Arabidopsis thaliana: one gene and its partners. The protein of the gene in region 1 interacts with the protein of each later gene in a pairwise test. Each region holds a gene or a part of one and is shown on either strand. Other genes may lie near its edges. The genes, in order: CHX10, AT5G16590, CRK30 and SPIK.

Region 1 (5,221 bases):
ACAAATTAAGGCGTTTGGAGAAGAAATTACCATGATCATTTCTGAGAGTTCTTTCTCGAATTTAAATTTTTTTTAATATAAAATATATTTGCGTTTAGTTTTGAAATAATAAGTATAAAAATATTCACCAAAAACAAAATAAGTATAAAAATTGTAGAATTAAAAGTGTATAGCAAGAATTAGTAAAAGTGGATAAATACAGATTAATGGTTAAGAAAAAATGTGAACTTGGCACATAAAAATTAAAATTTCTCTTTTTCAAGATCTAGATTGAAAGAAATTTTGAAAGATAACTTCGATAAAACGACCATAGATCCACAAACCCTTATATAATTCCGCATTTTTGTCTCCAGATATTATCTTCGATTGGAAATTCTCTGTTGCGTCTAGATCTTGTCCTCAATTTCATCATCTTGCTCTATTATCATGAATCTCACATCTTGTCCACCAATTAATCTGTATTTATTCAGTGGTAGATTTTGAAAGATTCTCATTTGAAATCAGCCTTTGAGCAAATCAAACGATTATATATTATTATTTTTGGTGTATTTTATTGTTAAAACATTTTCCAAAAATTTTACCATTTCTCACCATTAAAACAATAAAAAATACAACATTTTTTTGTATGTTTAATATTTGTAATATAATTTAACTTGAATACTGATTTTAATTATTTCATATTTCAGATGTTTTTAGTAATTGAGGTAATGAAAGGTAATAAGCACCAGAAATTTCAGATAAACTTTTGACCACCAGCCATATTAAACATTTTAATTATGGTTTGAATCTTTCCTCACTTTTTTGCGTATGTACGTCTAAACTAGATTTTAACCCGCGGTATACCACGGGAACAATTTATTTTTTAAAGTTAGTATATATATAAAAGTTTACAAATTATATCTATCTATAAAATAATTTTATTTTATAGTTTACAAATATTATTAAGTAACGTCCTGCCAAACCCGTCCTGTAAAAAAAACCATTTATTTTATTAATGTTGATCTTATTTATGATATGTTTATGAATCATTGTCTAAATATTTTGTAATTTTGTAGTAATTAAATGCTATCAGATTATATCTCTGCGCTTTGATGATTATAATCGAATTGTTATAGTTATGGAGAAAAGCAATATCAAAAATGATAATTTTGTAGTAATTAAATGATATTAAATATTTTAGAAGTATTATTTTAGTAAATAATCATGTAGTTAATATGAAGAGATTTTGGGAAGATTGTTAAATGTCAAATATTTAATTCGAAGATTTTCTTTTTAATTATCAAAAACAAACATTAAAATCCAGTGGCAACCATTGTAAATAAATCCGAACTACAGGATTTATTTCACAAAATGGTTGCAAAAATGTATATATAGATCTATCGGATTAATTGTATATCGGATTTTAGGGTGGTCACTAATTTTATAAGTATTATTAGATCGGAAAAAATATTATCAAGGGAAGGAAAGAAAAAAAATTGTAAACTTAGATTGAAGCAGTTGGAAAATATTTCTAGACTATAAACTTGGGTCCCCAAACAGAAACTTTGAGCTAATTTTGGCTCAAACCTCCAAGCTTGCAATTTTATTTAGCAAAGCAAATTCTTCATGTTCTAGATTTTACGTTTTTGAACAAACAAAATGGAAAAAAAAAACAGTTACTCTCTGGATATATATATTTTTTTTTTCTAAATTGGAAAGTTACATTTGTTCCAGAGAGATTATGACAGCTATTTACCAAAGACCAGACAAAAACAACACAAAAAACTAACAAGACTCTTTTCAAAACCCAAATTCAAAGAATGAACACTTTTTTTTCTTCTTTTCCAGAGACTTAAACTTTATAACACAAAAAAAAAGCATTTTCATCCCCAAGTTTTGCTAAGTTATTGGCTTATATTCATGAACACGACTACTTACATTGGGGATTGTCGAATATCATTCTTCAACATATCTTCCCAGGGATTTTGGGATAACCTAAAATCGCCTGATGTGGTTTTCGGCTACTCGCTGCCTCTCCTAGAGATTCAGATAATACTGATATTCTTCTGCATTGTCATGTCTCATATGTTCCTCAGATGCATCGGCATTTCCCAAATCGCTTCATATATGATTGTAAGCAAGTTTTCCATATCTAACTTGGCAAGCACACAAGATATTTCCAATTATTAGAACTACAAAAGTAGATGTAACTTGACAAGCACGTAAATTGTTTAAGGGACAAAGAAGATCATGCATGCGTGCTATTGAAGATATTTTTCAGAAACTGAAATCATATATATAAATTTATGTGCAGGCTGGAATAGTTCTAGGGCCTCAGCTTTTTGATGTACTAGAGAAATCTTCAGGGAAACTATCCGTGGATCCTGCGTTGGATGGAATCGCAGCGTTAAGATGCATCTCGGTGTTTGGAACACTAATGTTTACGTTTCTAATGACTGTTAGAACCAGCAGGCGAGTGGCGTTCCATAGCGGAAAATTGCCCGTTGTGATCGGGATCGTGTCCTTCTTTGCTCCTCTGTTTGGTCTCGGTTTCCAGAATTTTTTTTCTGACAACATCGACCCTCACTACATGCCTCTAACTAAAGCCCTAGGTGAGCGCACTGCGATTGTCATAACTCAATCTTCGATACTTTTGCCTTCCACTACATATATCTTGCTAGAGCTCAAGATCATCAACTCCGAGCTAGGTCGCCTTGCATTGTCTGCATGTGTCATCAACGACATCTTGGGGATTTTTTCCATGATAGTTGCCTCTATACAAGCGACCTACATTCATGTTTCACATGCAACAGCCTATCGTGACACTGTCGCGGTGATCATCTTTTTTCTCGTCGTCTTTCTTGTTTTTAAGCCTATGGTGCAATGGGTCATAGACCGCACACCGGAAGACAAGCCAGTGGAGGATATGTACATTCATGCCGTGATTATTACCGCATTGGCTTCCGCTGCTTATTTTGTGTTTTTCAACATGAAATATATTTTAGGACCATTAATGATTGGCATCATCATACCAGAGGGTCCACCATTAGGATCGGCTCTAGAGGCTAAGTTTGAGAGGCTCACAATGAACGTGTTCTTACCAATCTCAATCACATTCAGCGCGATGAGATGTGATGGAGCAAGGATCCTTAGCCAGTTCAATGACATCTTCTTCAACATCTTCCTAACATTTCTTATACTTGTCATAAAACTGGTCGCATGCCTTGCACCTTGCTTGTACTACAAGTTACCTCTCAGTGAATCCTTGGCTGTTTCCTTCATCTTGAGCTACAAAAGTTTTGCTGATTTTGTTCTCTATGAAGCTGTATTAGACGACACGGTAACCTCCTAACTCGCAAATAGTCGATTATTGGTATCATTTGCCATTAATCTAAACATTTTTTTATGGTTTGGTTTTGCAGTACATATCGCAAGCCACTTACTCGTTCTTAATCTTATATTCGCTACTAAATGCCGGGATTGTCCCTACTGTCTTAAGGAGGATGTACGATCCAAGAAGAAAGTACGTTAATTACCAGAAAAGGGACATATTGCATCTAGAACGAAACTCAGATCTTCGAATTCTAACTTGTTTGCACAAACCAGAAAACGTCTCAGAGACCATAGCATTCCTACAATTGTTGTCCTCACCGAACCTAGACTTCCCTATCGCGGTTACAGTTCTCCACCTTGTGAAGCTCGTTGGTCAGATAAACCCTATCATAGTCTCACACGACAAGAAATTGAAACGGCTTAACAAAGACTCATACATCCATACCGCAAACCTTGCCTTTAGACAATTCGTGTTAGAAAGCTTAGAGTCTGTAACCGTGACAACGTTCACTGCGTTCTCGCATGAAAACTTGATGCACGAAGACATTTGTACACTTGCACTTGACAAAACAACATCGATGATTGTCGTCCCATCGGGGAGGAAATGGACTGTAGATGGGTTATTCGAGTCTGACAACACTGCTATAAGACATCTAAACCAGTCGTTACTCGATCGTGCGCCTTGTTCTATCGGCATACTAGTAGACCGTGGACAATTCTCGCGAAAAAGTATTGTAACGAGCAAAAAAAGGTACATCATTGATGTTGGTGTGCTCTTCATTGGAGGCAAAGACGATAGGGAAGCACTATCATTGGTGAAGAGGATGAAAAATAACCCGAGGATCCGTGTAACCGTGATCCGACTCGTCTTCGACCATGAAATAGAGTCAGATTGGGATTATATTCTTGATAACGAAGGCTTAAAGGATTTGAAGAGTACTGAAGACAACAAAGATATTGATTATATAGAGAGGATTGTGACTAGTAGTGTTGAGGTAGTCAAAGCTGTCCAATTGCTTGCAGAAGAGTACGATCTAATGGTGGTCGGGAGAGATCATGATATGACATCACAAGACTTATCAGGACTAATGGAATGGGTCGAACTACCAGAGTTAGGTGTCATCGGGGATTTGCTGGCGGCTAGAGATCTAAGCTCTAAGGTTTCGGTTTTAGTAGTTCAACAACAACAACAACGAACGTGACATGTTTTGACCGCAAGACTGTGTGTATTCATTTAGGGCAAACTTTTAGAAAATTTTAAGATGTATAAATAGTCATTCATTTGTTTAAATATAATATGCGTATATATTCATACAAATTTTTTTACATTATATACAAATTAAACATACTTAGAATCCATAAGAAGGAATAACCATAAACTTTGATTCAGATTGTTATACTTCCTCCAGCTCAACTCTGTGTTTCTCAATCCGTCCTTTCACTCTTTCACTCTTTCACTAGCTTCTGGTATTCTTAGAACATTAGGTTGCCCAAAGCTGACACTGGTCTGTAAAGTCGAAGCGACTCCATGTTTATCTTCAAGAAAGAAACATGTTTCTTCAACTGCAAGAAACATTGTCTAAGAAGAAACCCTTTGAAAATATTAAAAACATTACCAGTTCTAGTTGGGAGAAAGTTTCTGAATTTGGGGTTTTATATTATATCTTTTGTTAGTCTTTGGAAATCTATCTGTTCATTTCCAATTTAATCTTCGGTTGCTTTGTTTCTTCCTTACTCTTCTCTTTTCTCCACTCCTCTAATATCACAGTGGTCTTGATATGATCAACAAAATTAAATTACAACCAAATGTAGCTTAATGTATATCTGCTTTCTCTAAGGGTTAATAATATCTCAAATCGAGTTTAAGGAAGAAGTATTAAAGACATTGAGCCTATCGATGGAGAAAGCA
Region 2 (4,696 bases), on another chromosome or scaffold:
CTTACAAAAATTAAGATTATATTTAAAATGTATTTCCCAAATAATATAGTAGGACTAAAAAGCTTTGAATCTTATAATACTTTAACGAAAAAAAATTTGAACTAAACCAAATATCATAACTGTCTGTGAGCTATTATTGTATTCGCACCACCCAATTAGAATTTTGATAGGTACTACAATATTAAGTTTGTGATAACAGCCAATTATTACAATTGTTTGGTGGGTCATTATGTTCCCGTGACTCTGGGCTATTTTGTATATATGTCACTATTTTTGCCTTTCTTGTTGTAAAATTTCGAAAGCTCTTTATTTTCATTGGTGGGAGAGTCCTAATCTTCTTAATTTCTTATCATATAGTCCCAACTTGTATGTTTTGTAATTGTAATAACAAGTTGGACCGACGGGATATTGTGTAATATGATTGGTAATACGCAAACGCAAAGTAACATCACAGAACAATGCTCACACGGAAAATATGAATTCATAAAATTTTATCATTATATGAATGGAAAGTGGGAAAAAAGCATACATTACGAAATTGTTTTTTGCATGACATAAGAAGAACCATTTAAAAACTTGGTAACGTCAATTTATGCTAGTTAAGTACTATACTCTTTCGTCAAATAAAGAAAAATGCTAGTAGTAGTAGAGTAGACTGATATTGTTGTCCCATGAAATAAAAGGGGCTTCAAATATATAGTTTGATTTAAGAACCCATTCTTGTATAAGCCTATTTTATGGGCCGTAATCAATAATAATAATGGGCTTACTTTCTACAATGTACTCTTAACTGAATATCAATTATAGTTTGGGCCGAAATAAAAACGTTGGTCTCATCAAAATCCTAATTGTTTTACTTTAATATCATGTCTTCAGTACTAAAATACTAATGAGGTAATCTAATTTGTATATTTTCTTCCCAAAAATTTTCGATATGAGTTATTCCATTTTAATACAGAATATATTCTTACTTTTAGAGGAAGTAAAATTTTGAAACTACTCAAATCCTATTCTATATATGTACAAACACATTTTTTTTCTGCCGATGACTTAGATAGACACAAAGCTAAGAATTTCATATTGTAAAAAAAGTTAACACGTAAATATGTTCCACATATCCGAAAGGAATTTAAATTAGTAGTGGTTCAGTATTATTAAGTCAGACATTTTTAGGAGACGTTCAATAATATAACATACTTTCCCAAGAGTTGCATGTTTCCATCGTACATAATAAAACCATAACTAAACAATTTAAATTATTCATTAAAAATAAAAAAACGGATAGTATTTGTTTAATTTTCACATTAAAGTATCTTTTAATTAAGTATTTATTATTATCTTTTATCTACTTATGTAATGTTTATAACACTTCTTACAAATCTCTCCAGATTCCTTCATAAATGGAAACAAAAGCATTTAAATATGTAAATCATATGATTTGTTACTGAAAATGCTAAATTACACAATAATAAAAAGATGTAAGAATATACAGCAAACTCATTTCTTCTTGCTGTAAAAATAATCGCACGGAATATTTAAATAAATTAATAAAAGATTCTGTATCTCACTGTAAAAACTAAAAAGGTAAAAAATTGAACAATTAACTTTTTCTTTCCATTCACTGCAGTCTGCAATTAATAGCCTCTCTCTCTCTCCTCCTTCATCATCTCCCCATAGCCGTCGAGACAGATAGAGAGAGCTGAAATTTCTGTGAGAAGATTTTCTTCCGACATTTTCTCTTTCCAAACACTGTTCTACACGTAGTCGGAAATCTCGGAAAAACCAATCTCCGAGTCAGAGAGAGAGAGAGAGGCGTTCACTGTTGTAAAGGATTAAGCTTTGGGTAAGAAGAAGATGAAGAACAAGACCAATTTAGGTCTCTCAGTCTTCTTCTTCTTTATATGTCTCGTTTCCGTGACATCAGATCTAGAAGCTGATCGACGAGCTCTAATCGCACTTCGTGACGGTGTTCATGGGCGTCCATTGCTGTGGAATCTAACAGCACCACCGTGTACTTGGGGAGGAGTCCAATGTGAGTCGGGTCGTGTCACAGCACTCCGATTACCCGGTGTGGGTTTATCGGGTCCATTACCAATCGCCATCGGAAACCTTACAAAGCTCGAAACTTTATCATTCCGATTCAATGCTCTTAACGGTCCTCTCCCGCCGGATTTCGCAAACCTAACTCTTCTCCGTTACTTGTATCTTCAAGGAAACGCATTTTCCGGCGAGATTCCTTCGTTTCTCTTCACTCTACCAAACATTATTCGGATCAATCTCGCCCAGAATAATTTCTTGGGTCGGATCCCGGATAATGTCAATTCTGCAACCCGGTTAGCTACTCTTTACTTGCAGGATAATCAACTCACCGGTCCAATCCCGGAGATTAAGATTAAGCTTCAACAGTTTAATGTCTCATCCAATCAGTTAAACGGGTCGATTCCGGATCCGTTGTCGGGTATGCCCAAAACCGCCTTTTTAGGCAATTTGCTCTGTGGGAAGCCGTTAGATGCTTGCCCTGTCAATGGCACTGGAAACGGTACTGTGACGCCTGGAGGAAAAGGGAAAAGCGACAAGTTATCTGCCGGAGCTATTGTCGGAATAGTGATCGGCTGTTTCGTCTTGCTTCTCGTGCTTTTCTTGATCGTGTTCTGTCTCTGTAGAAAGAAGAAGAAAGAGCAAGTCGTCCAATCGAGAAGCATCGAAGCAGCTCCTGTTCCGACCTCATCAGCAGCCGTGGCTAAGGAATCGAATGGTCCTCCTGCGGTGGTGGCTAATGGTGCATCTGAAAATGGTGTATCAAAGAACCCTGCTGCAGTGAGTAAAGATCTGACATTTTTCGTGAAATCTTTCGGCGAGTTTGATCTTGATGGATTGCTGAAAGCTTCTGCGGAAGTACTTGGTAAAGGAACGTTCGGATCTTCGTACAAGGCCAGTTTCGATCACGGATTAGTGGTGGCTGTGAAACGATTGAGAGATGTCGTGGTTCCTGAGAAAGAGTTCAGAGAGAAATTGCAGGTTCTTGGATCCATAAGCCATGCCAATCTTGTGACATTGATTGCATATTACTTCAGCCGCGACGAAAAGCTCGTTGTTTTCGAATACATGTCTAGAGGAAGCTTGTCTGCGCTGTTACACGGTAACAAAATAAATAACTCTGTTTATTGTTTGATTCTTTAGTAGTGATTACAGATTTTTTAAAACCAATTTTTTGGAATGAATTCGTAGGGAACAAAGGAAGTGGCAGAAGTCCATTGAATTGGGAAACGAGAGCCAATATAGCATTAGGAGCCGCAAGAGCAATTAGCTACCTCCATTCGCGTGACGCGACAACATCTCATGGCAACATTAAATCATCTAACATTCTATTGTCAGAATCCTTTGAAGCTAAGGTCTCTGACTACTGTCTTGCACCTATGATCAGCCCTACTTCTACACCTAACCGCATTGATGGTTACCGAGCTCCTGAAGTAACCGATGCTCGTAAAATCTCCCAAAAGGCTGATGTTTACAGCTTCGGTGTTCTCATTCTTGAATTACTCACAGGTACAACAACACACACAAAAACAGAGAGATCTTGAAAACCGTATTTTTGGTCAAAATGTTGATTCATATATTGGTTTTTGTATTGATTTGCAGGGAAATCTCCAACGCATCAGCAGTTACACGAAGAAGGAGTAGATTTACCGAGATGGGTTTCATCGATCACTGAACAACAATCACCATCAGATGTGTTTGATCCAGAGCTCACAAGGTATCAATCGGACAGCAATGAGAACATGATCAGGCTTTTAAACATCGGTATAAGTTGTACGACTCAGTATCCAGATAGTCGTCCTACAATGCCTGAAGTCACAAGACTCATCGAGGAGGTTTCTCGTTCACCTGCTTCACCAGGTCCTTTGTCCGATTGATTGTATTTTTCTTTTTCAATATATGGGGTCTAAATTGATCATTTCAAAATTGTTTGGTCTAAATTTGAATTTCTTTATATAGTTTGGTCTTTAAGTCAGTTGAGAGATCTACGTTGAAGTTTTTTTTTTTTTTTTTGTGTTTCTTAATTTTTTTAGTGAAATTTTTTATATACAAATTGATTGAGTGTGAAACAAATTATATCTCTCCTTTTCTATTGGTCGGCCCATCAATTTGAATATAGTAACTTTAACTTTATTTCATGAAACTTATCCACTATTGACTCTTTCTTTCTAACGAACTAGCAAATAAAACGGCAGAAACAAAAAAGAAGGAGCCTGATTATTATATGTTGGTAAATTATAAAAAGTTGTCAAACAAATTTTGTTGATATATTGTGTCTGATTCTTCTCTCCGACCAATCATAAAATGCATGTCAACGACACATATTTTCTGTCTTTCCTCAATTTCAAGTTTTATTTGTATTAGTGACTAAGACTAAGTATCTAAATACTTATTACAAACTCCATGGAGTAAATATAATTTTAGGTAACGGGTCTATTTAAAGTTTCTAAGTTGAATCTGTCAAGTTAGTCCCCACCTTTCAAATTCAAATTCAGATAATTTGGTGAAGCCATCAAAACAAAAGTTTCTTCATTTTTCCTTTAATCGTTAAAGTAAATTTCAAGCGACTCTCTTTAAGAATAAAAAAAGAAAGAAAGATATACTATCTTTATAAATTGTATTGATCAAGACATATGCAGAGGGTTTCGGAAAATCATTT
Region 3 (4,983 bases), on another chromosome or scaffold:
GTGTTTGTGTTTGTGTTTGTGTATGTTTGCCCTTTGATTATGAACGGTGAAATCTAGACTAATTTTGACAGTATGTACAAGATTAATCTAGATTATTGCCTGCATAGGCTGCATTAAAAAAATTGGTGTGTTTAATTGAACGACGCCGTGCTAAAATATCGAACGGCGAGATTTATAGCTTCAGTTTTTTTATTTGAAACACTGTCGTTTTGCATAAATAAAACGACAGCGTTTAGGTCGATAAATGACTGCGTATTGGTAAGTTGAGACGACAACGTTTAAAGCCGGCGTTTTTAAATTATAAACGGCAGAGTTTTGGTTAAGGGAACGACGGCGACGATGAATATGGTGTTTCCGAAGTAGTTTCAGGCGATGATGGTGAATAATATTACGAAACGACAGTGTTTAGATAGATTGGCGTTTGGATTTGCATTACTCGAAAACATTGTTGAAGGCGATGGTGTTTCCGACGTTGCGCGATACCCATGTCTCTTGAACTTTTCGGGTATGGCCATGTCTGGGAATCTCACAGATGAAGTTTCTAGTGAGGAAAGAAGTCAGAGCAAATGATATAACTTGTCATAAAGAAGAACAAAAGGGTTTTCAGATTGGTGGGATTAAGCCAAAGGGTTTTGCTCATGGAAGTGTTTGAGAAAGACTGCTTCTTGTGAAGATGCTTCTTGCGACATAGCTAATGAGGGTGAGGTTTCTTTGGATCTGATATTGATTCGGAGTATCTGGTTTTAGAAATGTTTGTGATAGAGACTAAAGGAGCCATTGTTGGCCAAATTAAGAATTGAATCGTATATAGAAGACATGAGACATGACTTATATAAAGAGTGTTTCAGTTTCCGAATCATCTTCTGCTTCAAAGTAAACTGTTATTAATCACTTTGAGTAGGTGGCTCTTTTTCTTTTCTCTTCAGGTTAAGATTGATGTCTTTTGTGTTTTGTGTTGTTTCTTTCTGATTTTTGGAATTCTTTTGGTCAGCTGCACTGTTTAATCTGAAGCAAGCAACCACTCGCTTTCTGTCAATTCGGTGGAAGTGTATGCTGAAACTTCCGGGAAGACTTGAAGTTGCAGAGACATTTTAAAGCAGTCAATGTATCTAACAGCTGTTCTCCGCTTCTCAAATCACTACTTTGCTCGGTAAGGCCGATATACCAAACAAAAACACAAATGTTCTTCTGTTTTGGCCTTTGATGATGAAACATTATGTTATTAGATTACTTGGATGCTACGGTTCTGTACTTCTGTTCATGTTTACTAGAACCTCTCTAGTTATCCGTGTTGAGTCGGTATATTGTGCTATAGTTAATGCGTTTCTTTCTGGTTCAAGCGAGCATGTTTTGGACCAAAAACCTTTTGGTAAAAAGAAACTTTGCAAAGTGCAATGAAGTTTGCATTTTGTTTGTTTTCTATAATTTACAAAATAACTCAAGAAAATGTAGTCCTCAGATTTATCACAGTGATCATCCATTTCAATCAATTGCTTCTTCAAGTACTCAGAGAGTCGCGTTGATTTAGAAAATGTTATTCATGATACTCCAAAAAGCTATTGATTGTCCTGCAACAACATGTTCAGAGTCTTGTTATGGCTTGAAGTAGTAGTTGAGAGTCACAGTGACTTGTTGGAATAACTCTGAGTGGTCCAGTTCATAATTTCTTTCTAACAAGTTGCCATTGTTTTATTTATATTCTCTATCCATATAATAAAATAATGTTTACAACTTGCTCTTATGAAAGGCATGGTTGTGTAAGTTAGTCTATATTCAGCTTGAGACACTAAAGAAACTCATCTATTCCTTTTTTGGAAAATGCGTCAAAATAATCTCTTCTCATTGATCTTCTGGCTTGTCCCTGTGAGCTTAATTATTGTTGTCTCTGCACAGTTATGCTCGGAGAAGTTTGGAACTTTTACACCAGGTGGTACATTTGACAAGAACCGCCGAATCATTCTCTCATCTCTTCCATCTGAAGTCACAGCTCAAGATGGCTTCTACAACGCTTCGATTGGAACAGATCCTGACCAACTCTACGCAATGGGGATGTGCATCCCAGGTGCTAAACAAAAGCTTTGTAGGGATTGTATCATGGACGTCACAAGACAGTTAATACAGACATGTCCCAACCAGACAGCAGCAATTCACTGGTCAGGTGGAGGGAAAACTGTATGTATGGCACGTTACTATAACCAGCCGTCTTCTAGACCATTGGATTTGGAATCAGTTTCTATTGGTTATAACGTTGGAAATCTCAGCACAAACTTAACAGATTTTGATAGATTATGGGAGCGATTGATAGCTCATATGGTGACTAAAGCTTCATCAGCATCAATAAAATATTTATCATTTGATAACAGTAGATTCTATGCAGCTGATGAAACAAACTTGACAAATTCTCAAATGGTCTACGCTTTGATGCAATGCACGCCAGACGTCTCTCCTTCCAACTGTAACACTTGTTTAAAACAAAGTGTTGATGACTATGTTGGTTGTTGTCATGGGAAGCAAGGCGGCTATGTGTATCGGCCTAGTTGCATTTTCCGGTGGGATCTATACCCTTTCAATGGCGCCTTTGATCTTCTTACGCTAGCGCCTCCACCCTCATCTCAGCTGCAATCCCCACCTCCAGTGACCAACAAAGGTATGTGATTTACTTAAATAAATGATAGAAATAACCCTTCTTGTATTCAACTCTAAGAAGAGCTAGGTGATTTGGTCTTGCACAGATGAAAAAACGATTCATACAGGAACTATCATTGGGATTGTCATTGTCGTTGCAATGGTCATAATCATGGCTCTGCTTGCTCTAGGGGTTTCTGTTTGCAGGAGTAGAAAAAAATATCAAGCTTTTGCCTCAGAAAGTGAGTTCCTCTTGTTTTCTTTCTTATCAGCTGGTCTTGCTGCTAATTTACGAAAGAATTTCACCGACCTGACCATAAAACCACCTACATTTTCATTGTGCAGCTGCCGATGATATTACAACAGTTGGATATCTCCAGTTTGATATTAAAGACATTGAAGCTGCAACAAGTAACTTTTTGGCGAGTAACAAGATTGGTCAAGGTGGTTTCGGCGAAGTTTACAAGGCATTTTCTCCCCAACTACTCTTAAGTTGTATTTGTGTTATGTTTGAAGATATTGAGATAGTGGGATGATTAGTTAGATTCAGTTGTAATATGCAGGGTACGTTATCAAATGGAACTGAAGTTGCAGTCAAGAGGCTGTCAAGAACTTCAGATCAAGGTGAATTGGAGTTCAAGAACGAGGTGCTTCTTGTAGCAAAACTTCAGCACCGGAATCTCGTTAGGCTTCTCGGTTTTGCTCTGCAAGGAGAAGAAAAGATACTCGTCTTTGAGTTTGTTCCCAACAAGAGCCTCGATTATTTCCTCTTCGGTAGTACTAGTAGTCTAATTTTCCTCTTGATCCAATATTCTTGAAATCTTAAGCTTGGATTTGCAAATGGATGTGCAGACCCAACAAAAAAGGGTCAGCTGGACTGGACAAGACGGTACAACATCATTGGAGGGATTACACGAGGGCTTCTCTATCTTCATCAAGACTCTAGGCTCACCATCATACACCGTGACATCAAAGCGAGTAACATTCTTTTAGATGCTGATATGAACCCGAAAATAGCGGATTTCGGGATGGCTAGGAATTTCAGAGATCATCAAACTGAAGACAGTACAGGAAGAGTCGTTGGAACCTTGTTAGTATTCTCCTTATTATTTACAATGGGCACAATTCTCTGATGAACGGTTTTTGTTACTGACTAACGTAAACATTGTCATGTATATATTTGCAGCGGTTACATGCCTCCAGAATATGTTGCGCATGGCCAATTCTCTACCAAATCCGATGTCTATAGCTTCGGAGTATTGATTCTAGAGATTGTTAGTGGCAGGAAGAATAGCAGCTTCTATCAGATGGATGGTTCTGTTTGCAACTTGGTCACATATGTGAGCTGAAATCTAAAATGCTTTTTTTACTTTCTAACTGTGATCATCGATTCTGAATACGAGTTTGTTTGCAGGTTTGGAGACTTTGGAACACTGATTCATCTTTAGAGCTCGTAGATCCGGCGATTAGCGGAAGCTATGAGAAAGATGAAGTCACTAGATGCATCCATATCGGACTTTTATGCGTTCAAGAAAATCCTGTGAATCGACCAGCATTGTCTACAATATTCCAAATGCTCACTAATAGCTCCATTACTCTAAATGTCCCTCAACCACCTGGATTTTTCTTCAGGAACAGACCTGAGTCAGACACATTACGCCGTGGATTGGAGCCAGACCAATATAACAATGAATCTGTTACTTGTTCTATCGACAATGCAACAATCACTACACTCCTCGGTAAAACTCTTGCTTCTGCACTCTGTTGTATTACCTCAACTCTATTTTCAAAGTCAATGTATAGAAACACTGAGGATTGAATTATTTTTGAATATTAAAAGTTATCTCATTTTGATTCTGGTTTATGTATTCACGTTCATTTTTTGTTAAGAATAAATGCTTGGCTCACCTGCCCAATAACATCTTTTTTTGACCAAATCAAGGTTCTCAAAATAGTACGGTGAATGAAATCAAACTAGGCTATCCACTGTTTTATCCTCACATGTTTCTGCTTTGTGTCTTCCTTCACAAAGATGCAGGGACTCAGTATTTTAGACCCAACGGTACTCATTCCTTAATGGAGACTAAGAGATTTTTAAAACAATAGGAACCGACGACTTAAATACTTGTGTTTGGTCATTGCTTGTTGCATTGTGTTTTGGAGTAAGTTAGAACGTTTTGGTGTCAAATAGGGCCTAGAAGAGCTACAGATCAAGAATTGGTCTACGTTCACTTTCATCATATTTACCTAACGTGTTTATAAAGTATTAAATTATCCAAAACGTTGACCTAGGTGACTTGTGCATTAATGCACGTATCCACTACTTGACGAAAATTCTACACGCGAAAGCTGTTTTGA
Region 4 (6,919 bases), on another chromosome or scaffold:
TAATTTGACAAGGGTTTTAATTCAACTAGACATAAAATACAACTTCACCTCTTTAGGTTGATTGAGCAGATTGCGGATGTTTCGTATTGGTCAGAGAGATGGGAGCAGATTAAGCTCTCTAGAGTCTGATTCAAATATTACCTTCTTGCATTTGAAGCATGAAATAATAATAATATTATAGTGTGTGTTGTCTCTAACTCTATCTCAATCATTGTGCTCATTTTCGGTAATGCTTTGGCTCCCAAGTCCCATCAATATCACTTTACCATCATGGATCTAAACAAAAATGAAAGATGAGATGATAATTCATCTCAGAAATAGGATAAGTCACCTAGAGAGGATTTAAGCTTGATTGGAAAAGATGAGTGAGGAGTTACTCTCAAATCTCGACCTCGCACAAAAGTTATAAATTTTAACACTTGCTTCTTCTTAGAGACTTAGAGAAGAAGATTGTCTAGACGTTTAAGAAAGGACCTTTATCCTTGTATGCTTTCTGAAAAAAACAAGATTGTTTCCATACTTCTTGTAGATTTCGATGTTAATATCATGAGGTTGTTAGAGAGTTCTTTTAACAGAAAATAGTCAACAGGATATATATATATATACATGTGAAAAATAGTAAGCAGTGAATATATACACAAAAGCAAAAAAAAAAAACCTAAAAGATATTTCAATCCCGGAGTTGATTGGGGCTTACGGTTTCCCCTAATATTAGCATCATATCACCACCATAAAGCTTGACTGTGGTGGTTTGCGAGTTTGCGTTAAGACAAATAGTTTTCATTACTCAAAATCGAAAGAGAGTTGCGTGTGAATCAAGGATCCCTTGATAGAAGGAGAAAATCGCCATCTCTGATAAGAGTGATGTCGTCAATTTCAGCTCCTTCTCTCGTAAGTACTTTAGTTGGGACGAATCCCATCTTATTTTCACCAATTTTCAATAGCTCTTCCATAGAATTTGGTAACAAAACAACTTTTCCACCAGTTTCACCGTTTTCCGGCGAACTTATCGTCACTCTCTCCGGATAAATCATACTACCTCCTCCTCCAGGAACCGCTGGACTTCTTGGAACTTCTCCTCCATCATCAGCTGGAAAAAAACCAGAAATGAAAACCAAATTTGTAAATTTGTAAGGAACAGAACAATGTAATGAACGTTGTGAATTGTATATAAGAATGACTATTGTGATGTGAAAAGTTCTGAAAATTATGGTTACGTGACAAGAAAGCAACGAGTATCTAGAGAGCAGATGGAGAGGTGAGGTGGTTTTACCGCTATTTGCAGCTGAAATGATTCCGAAGAGCGAGTTTCTGAAGTTATTGAGTTTCCGTTTCTGAGAAACAACAACCTGACCCCCGTCTAAGACGAGTTCTCCTGAATGCATTGTAGGCTCACTGCTATACTTCATTAATGGCTTCCCTGTCACAGGACTCTGAGGTATTCCAGGGATAGGTTTCGGTTTTTTCTCCACAGGCCTGTGATTATGAAACAAGGTTTTGATTTCTTCATTCCCTTGATGATCGGCAAGACCACGAGGAGTCCATCCGTAAGAATCCGGCCAGTCCAAGTCAGCACCTTGGTCTAGTAAGAACTTCACAATCTCCAAGTGTCCTTCTGACACTGCTCTGTGTAAAGCTGTGGTTCCGTTTCCATCAGGGAGTGTGACGTCGCCGCCATATTTGATGATGTCTTTGAGTGCGTCTAAGCAGTTTTTCTCCACGGCTAAGCCAGAGAAATAGCTCACTGAGTCTAAGCTTAGCTTTGCTCCATTCTCTGCAAGGAGTTTAGCAATTTCTCTATGTCTTCCTATGATTGCTTCCCACAAGGGTACATTGCCTTCGGAATCTGTAAACAATGTACGAGCCACCGATAATTTAGTACTACATGATCCTATCATCCTAAGCTAATTGACCTAGTGAAACATTATTTTTTACTACTTACCTCTAATGTTAGGATCTGCTCCATGTTCGAGAAGTAAAACGACGCAATAATGGCTTCCCTTTGATGCTGCTATATGCTGAGATATTCAAAGAAGAAACATAGAGAGTGAGCAAATTTGGTTTAGGCATTAAAAGGAGGATGATGGTATATACAAAGGAAATCCGGGCTTACCAGCGCAGTTCGCCCGTCCTTATCCATTTCATTAGGGCTTGAGCCTCGTCTTAGTAACTGATGCAGCAATAAATCATCTCCTCTGGCTGCAGCAAAGCACAAGCTGAGAGGTAAATCCATTTTCCCTTGAGCCAACATGTGTTCTGTATCAGCCAAAACGCCTTTCATCACTGGATCTTCTGAGTCTTTTAAATGCTGCATGAACCACAACATATCTGTTATGGAACTGGTCCTGTGTGTCAACAGGTTGAAACAAACTGTACTATTCAGAGTTATTACAAACCTGAAGAAGATTATTCATGATTATTGCTCCATCTCCTACATTTGCCTGAACAAGATTTAAGAGTACTGTACGGTTCAGACGAAGCAACTGACTCAATCGCTTGGTACGAACAGTAAACAGCTGCGGTCTGTAACATAGTACCCCAACTTCACCAAAAACATGTCCTCTCTGTGCTTCACTAACTACCTGTAAAGAAACACATACACAAAAACATTATCAAATATGTTTTGGTTCTCCAATTGCAACAAAGTTAAAGAAGAACACAATCATATCTTAAAAAGAAACGGTATAATAAAAGCTAGACTTGCCTGCTCCACTCCATTTACACGTGCAATTATGTCCTGAATGACATAGGAATGTGTCAGGAATAATACATGATGATAAAGGAATGTGTCAGGAATGTACGAAAAACACTTACAACAGCTCCGGTCACCAATATGTAGAAATCTGTTGGGGCTTCATTTTGCAAAATCACATCTTCTTTGGGAGGAAAATACTCTGCTTTCATTTCCGTGACCTACAGGACACCGTAAGTTAAGACTTAATGTGAATAAAGTGACCACTTTTAGCATGCAGGACTTCTTGCGTTATGGGAAACATACCAACTGGAAAAGAAGATCATTGGATATTCCATGGAACAAGTAAATTTTGTCAACAACTTCATAGAACAGATAATGTGATATGCTGGACCGAATAGCTTTGGGAAGAGAATCGATTATTTCTTGCTGCTGTAAGCCTTCTGAATCAGTTCTGTACCTCAAACACAAATGAGCAACCATCTGATCTTGTAACCGCACTGGCAGATTGTTCCTCTGACCAAACCCTGATGCGGCTTGGATGGTATCTCTCTAAAATAATGCAAATGCTTAAGACTCATGAAACTTCACTGAGACCAGACTAATTTTCAGAGAAGTGCAGTTAACAGTACCGGTACATAGAACTTACAAATTTTCTGGTGCGGCCGGTCACATGAACCACCAAGTTGGTCATATTACCAATTATATATGCTGACAGTCCAAGATTAAAAACCATGTAGAAAAGAATGAAAGTCATCTCTCTTGAGTTAACACCATGTATATCACCATAACCAGTTGTGGAGAAAGTAGTTATGGACCAATACATTGCCGTGTTATACCGCACTGCAATAGGAGACTCTTTCCAATTTTCATCGGTTAATGCCATAAACGTCTTGGATGGATCTGGATAATGTGCAGCAATGGAATAGAGGAAACAAGCACCACAATGAATCACAAAAAGAGTAACCTGCATTACCAAATCAAATACTGTAAATTCACAGCTAAAAAACTGTTCATTTGAAACCAAAAAGAGTGTAAAAAACAAGTAGACAATAGCTACTTACAAGGAGAAGCTTCGAGCAGCGAACCCAAAAGTAACTGTATTTCCTGTCTTTCTCTAACCTGAAAAGAAGACATCAATATTATACTCAGCTGGAATTTAAACGTTTTGGCTGGAACGATAAACCGGCCAAAGAACTCACCTGGCAAAACAATTACTGACCCTACGAAGACGCCATAAACGTAGCATACTGAAAATACCATATCCCTGAATACTCTCATGAAGCAAGCTCCCAAAAATTTCGTAAGGAAATGTGGAAACCACGTCGAAAATCAGCCAAGTCGACGCATATCTCCAAGCTATTCTCTTTGGATCATCGACAAGAAGATAAGTTACCTTGTCCAAGAAGGCAACAAAGAATGTCAAGACTATATCAACAGCGAAAAACCCGTTGACAATGTTATCGAGAATACTGAGAGGTGGTCTTGGCTTTTGCAGAAACCCAAATTCAAAAGGTGATGCCCAAGCTGTGTAGAGCACCAAAAACACCAAAAACGTCTCCCACGCTCTGAAAAATAATGTTTTACCTCAGCTAAACCCTAATTTAGCGATTAGATTAAAACAGAGTCAAAATTTGAAAAAACGGACCTGTAACGAGGATCAAAAGGAGAGACGATGAAGCGAGGGAGAATGACGTCACGAGAGGAACGATTGTTGGCTCCAAGAGAAGGAAGAAGGCCTTTGCTAAGGCTATACTGACTCATCGTCCCGTCGCGAGATAAATGGTCAGCAACATCATCCTCCGCATCTTTGGTTCTTCCTCCTCCTCTGCCTCCGCCTCCTTCGCCGTCGTCTTTCACACCCCAAAACCATACCTTCTTCTTCTCCATGCTTCAGATCCCTCTCTCTTTCTTTTTCCAAAATCAAAATCCCTTGCGGATAAACACGCAAGGTTTTTTTTTTTTTTTCTCCGAATTCGCCGGTTTCGAATTTCCTTTTATATCCTTTTTTCTGTTACGTTTGTTTCTTTCTTTTTTGTTGTGGGCCCCAACAGGTAACTATTTTCCCTCCTTTTTCTGCTTTTGTAGCCACAAAAATAGCAAGTATATTTCGGTTCATTGGTCTTTTAGTGCTCATAGAAACTTTCAAAATTAACAAATTGGCATGTTTTTTTCCGTTTTGCTCTGGGAACTGAATATTAACTATAGTTTTTTGGTTAATTAGGCTTTTGTTTGTCCCCCAAACATACTAATATTACCAATACTTAAAAACATCATACAAGTTTCTGTTGTTCAATAATTGGCAAAATTCAAATAGGAGGACTACAATCCAAAAACGCTTGGTAAATCGAGAAAGAAGGAGGAGGTTGGTTTATGCGCAAATTGGTATTTAGATAATCATTTCCTGGAATCAATCTACTCTGGTACTTGGAAAGCTTAATTGTGACAGTTTTGGTAACTGTGTTAGTTACATGTTTGCGTCTGTTGGCTTTGAATAAAATCAATAACGCAACCCAAGTAACTTTTTCTGCTACTGCTTTTCTGTTTGGTTTCTCTGATGCTTTTAAGTTGCAAAGGAATTTGATTTTATGAAGTTCTGGTGAAACTCAAGCTAGTGACATGTAGAAGCCACAAATCAACTTCAAGTCAAGAATAAAATAATATAAGTAAAACAGGTGGTTCCAAATAATGTCAATCTTACATAGAACACATTGAAAACATTATAAGTTAATGCAGATCATAATGTTGTTCATAAGTTTTGTAACAACCATAAAATTTTGAATTAACATGAGTTCTAAAGAATCAGAAATATTCAATTCGATTATTTTTCTTAGTGTAGAGTATAAGCGAATATAAAACCGATAGTGATGGCATAAGAACATCGCAATTCGCAAGGCTTCTTCTTCCTCTCTGAGTCTTTTCAATTTCTTTAAGCTTGAGACATAGGGAAAAAGTTGGATTTGACAAGCGAGCAGCTAGACACGTTTGATTTATGCAGAGGTCTATACACACCGATCATAATATTTATGCTAACGTTTGAATCCCCGCACCTCGGTAATTCAGCTTGAAATGTCATAGCCTTGATTTCATAAAAATTGAGTACTTTTCTGTAGATTTTGATGACCAGGCCAACTGTACATATACCACCAACAAACAAGCATGGACAGTTCCACAATCTACTGGTCACATTTGCTGAAAGAGTAAAAGTATTCCACACAACCTCAATACTGTCTCAGATAGACACAGTTCATAAAGAACTTTCAACCTAATACTTACCAATCGTCGGCAAACTTATCCAACCTGCAGACTGTAAATGATTATCCTTCGGCTAGGAACAGTTCACAGCCTGTGTAAAGAGGGTATATATATCCAAGAACACCTGAAACAGATCAGTTATGTACAGCCAAAAAGAAAACACAGCACAATTTAAATTATGAATTTTGAGGAAGAAGGGGCATTGTGTTTTGCACCATTCAGTTAACCTCATGCATCAGAGTAAGATCTCTAGAAGCAAGCAAGATCTGCAGTCACCCAACATGGCTACAGTTTTCCTGAAAAATGTAAGGTAAGTTCAATAATCCATCACTGATGAGGAGAAGACAAATGACTCGACTTATCCAGAAGCTTAAACACAATAAACTAAAGTATATATATGAAGAAAAGACATGACTCATCTTAGAACACAGATACTGTAACTTTTGTTTAAGTTTAATCATCCGGAAAGTACAACAAAGAAAATTAGACTATAAGAAGAAAACATCACAATGAGGATTTGAAATTTTCAGTCAGAGTTATTTCCCTTCTGCTGTCTATACAATCATTTTAACAATCCTCCGGTAACAGAACAATATACAACAGTTGATTCCACATTGCAGGGAAGTATGGCCAACACCTGAAGATAAGACTGTCAAGGATCAAAAAGATATAATAGATACTAACAAAATTAACTGTGGGTACCGGCAGACTTGAGATTTCTTAGCTCCATCAAATGTTCATCATTTGATATATTAAGAGAAAGTCGGAGATCAGTTAGTGATGCTTCCTGATCCCAACTTAGGGAGCCAGAAGCAAATAACTTCGTCAGTGTACTACGGTAAGTGTAAAGTTCAGGCCTACATGATCTCACCACTGATCCATTACCTGATAATGAATGTTTTCGCCTAGCTTCATCTCTGCATCCAGATGCTTCTTTTGAAGATTCAGCATCACTACTACAAGAGTCGGCAC

Evidence for each region.
Region 2: the proteins of CHX10 (region 1) and AT5G16590 interact in a protein complementation assay, tested with the Arabidopsis thaliana proteins (one large-scale study listed by BioGRID).
Region 3: the proteins of CHX10 (region 1) and CRK30 interact in a protein complementation assay, tested with the Arabidopsis thaliana proteins (one large-scale study listed by BioGRID).
Region 4: the proteins of CHX10 (region 1) and SPIK interact in a protein complementation assay, tested with the Arabidopsis thaliana proteins (one large-scale study listed by BioGRID).

What each region holds. Positions count from the first base shown.
Region 1 is NC_003074.8:16,401,351-16,406,571, reverse strand, and holds CHX10 (cation/H+ exchanger 10), read left to right. Parts: upstream 1-1,747; 5' UTR 1,748-1,899; coding exon 1,900-2,112; intron 2,113-2,293; coding exon 2,294-3,319; intron 3,320-3,401; coding exon 3,402-4,514; 3' UTR 4,515-4,681; downstream 4,682-5,221. UniProt on the Arabidopsis thaliana protein: May operate as a cation/H(+) antiporter.
Region 2 is NC_003076.8:5,430,008-5,434,703, forward strand, and holds AT5G16590 (Leucine-rich repeat protein kinase family protein), read left to right. Parts: upstream 1-1,576; 5' UTR 1,577-1,854; coding exon 1,855-3,139; intron 3,140-3,228; coding exon 3,229-3,546; intron 3,547-3,639; coding exon 3,640-3,914; 3' UTR 3,915-4,179; downstream 4,180-4,696. UniProt on the Arabidopsis thaliana protein: Might be involved in early recognition of growth promoting fungi. Appears to be specific for P.indica.
Region 3 is NC_003075.7:6,962,650-6,967,632, forward strand, and holds CRK30 (cysteine-rich RLK (RECEPTOR-like protein kinase) 30), read left to right. Parts: upstream 1-1,818; coding exon 1,819-2,647; intron 2,648-2,732; coding exon 2,733-2,867; intron 2,868-2,970; coding exon 2,971-3,092; intron 3,093-3,188; coding exon 3,189-3,408; intron 3,409-3,477; coding exon 3,478-3,715; intron 3,716-3,811; coding exon 3,812-3,965; intron 3,966-4,039; coding exon 4,040-4,444; downstream 4,445-4,983.
Region 4 is NC_003071.7:10,892,266-10,899,184, reverse strand, and holds SPIK (Shaker pollen inward K+ channel), read right to left. Parts: upstream 4,933-6,919; 5' UTR 4,583-4,932; coding exon 4,341-4,582; intron 4,261-4,340; coding exon 3,895-4,260; intron 3,815-3,894; coding exon 3,757-3,814; intron 3,660-3,756; coding exon 3,342-3,659; intron 3,245-3,341; coding exon 2,999-3,244; intron 2,914-2,998; coding exon 2,815-2,913; intron 2,738-2,814; coding exon 2,705-2,737; intron 2,583-2,704; coding exon 2,397-2,582; intron 2,309-2,396; coding exon 2,114-2,308; intron 2,019-2,113; coding exon 1,943-2,018; intron 1,847-1,942; coding exon 1,274-1,846; intron 1,091-1,273; coding exon 816-1,090; 3' UTR 513-815; downstream 1-512. Other genes in the region: AT2G25590 (Plant Tudor-like protein), read right to left, coding at 5,413-5,626, 5,743-5,884, 5,969-6,020, 6,833-6,919. UniProt on the Arabidopsis thaliana protein: Highly selective inward-rectifying potassium channel that could mediate potassium uptake in the pollen membrane. Plays an important role in pollen tube development.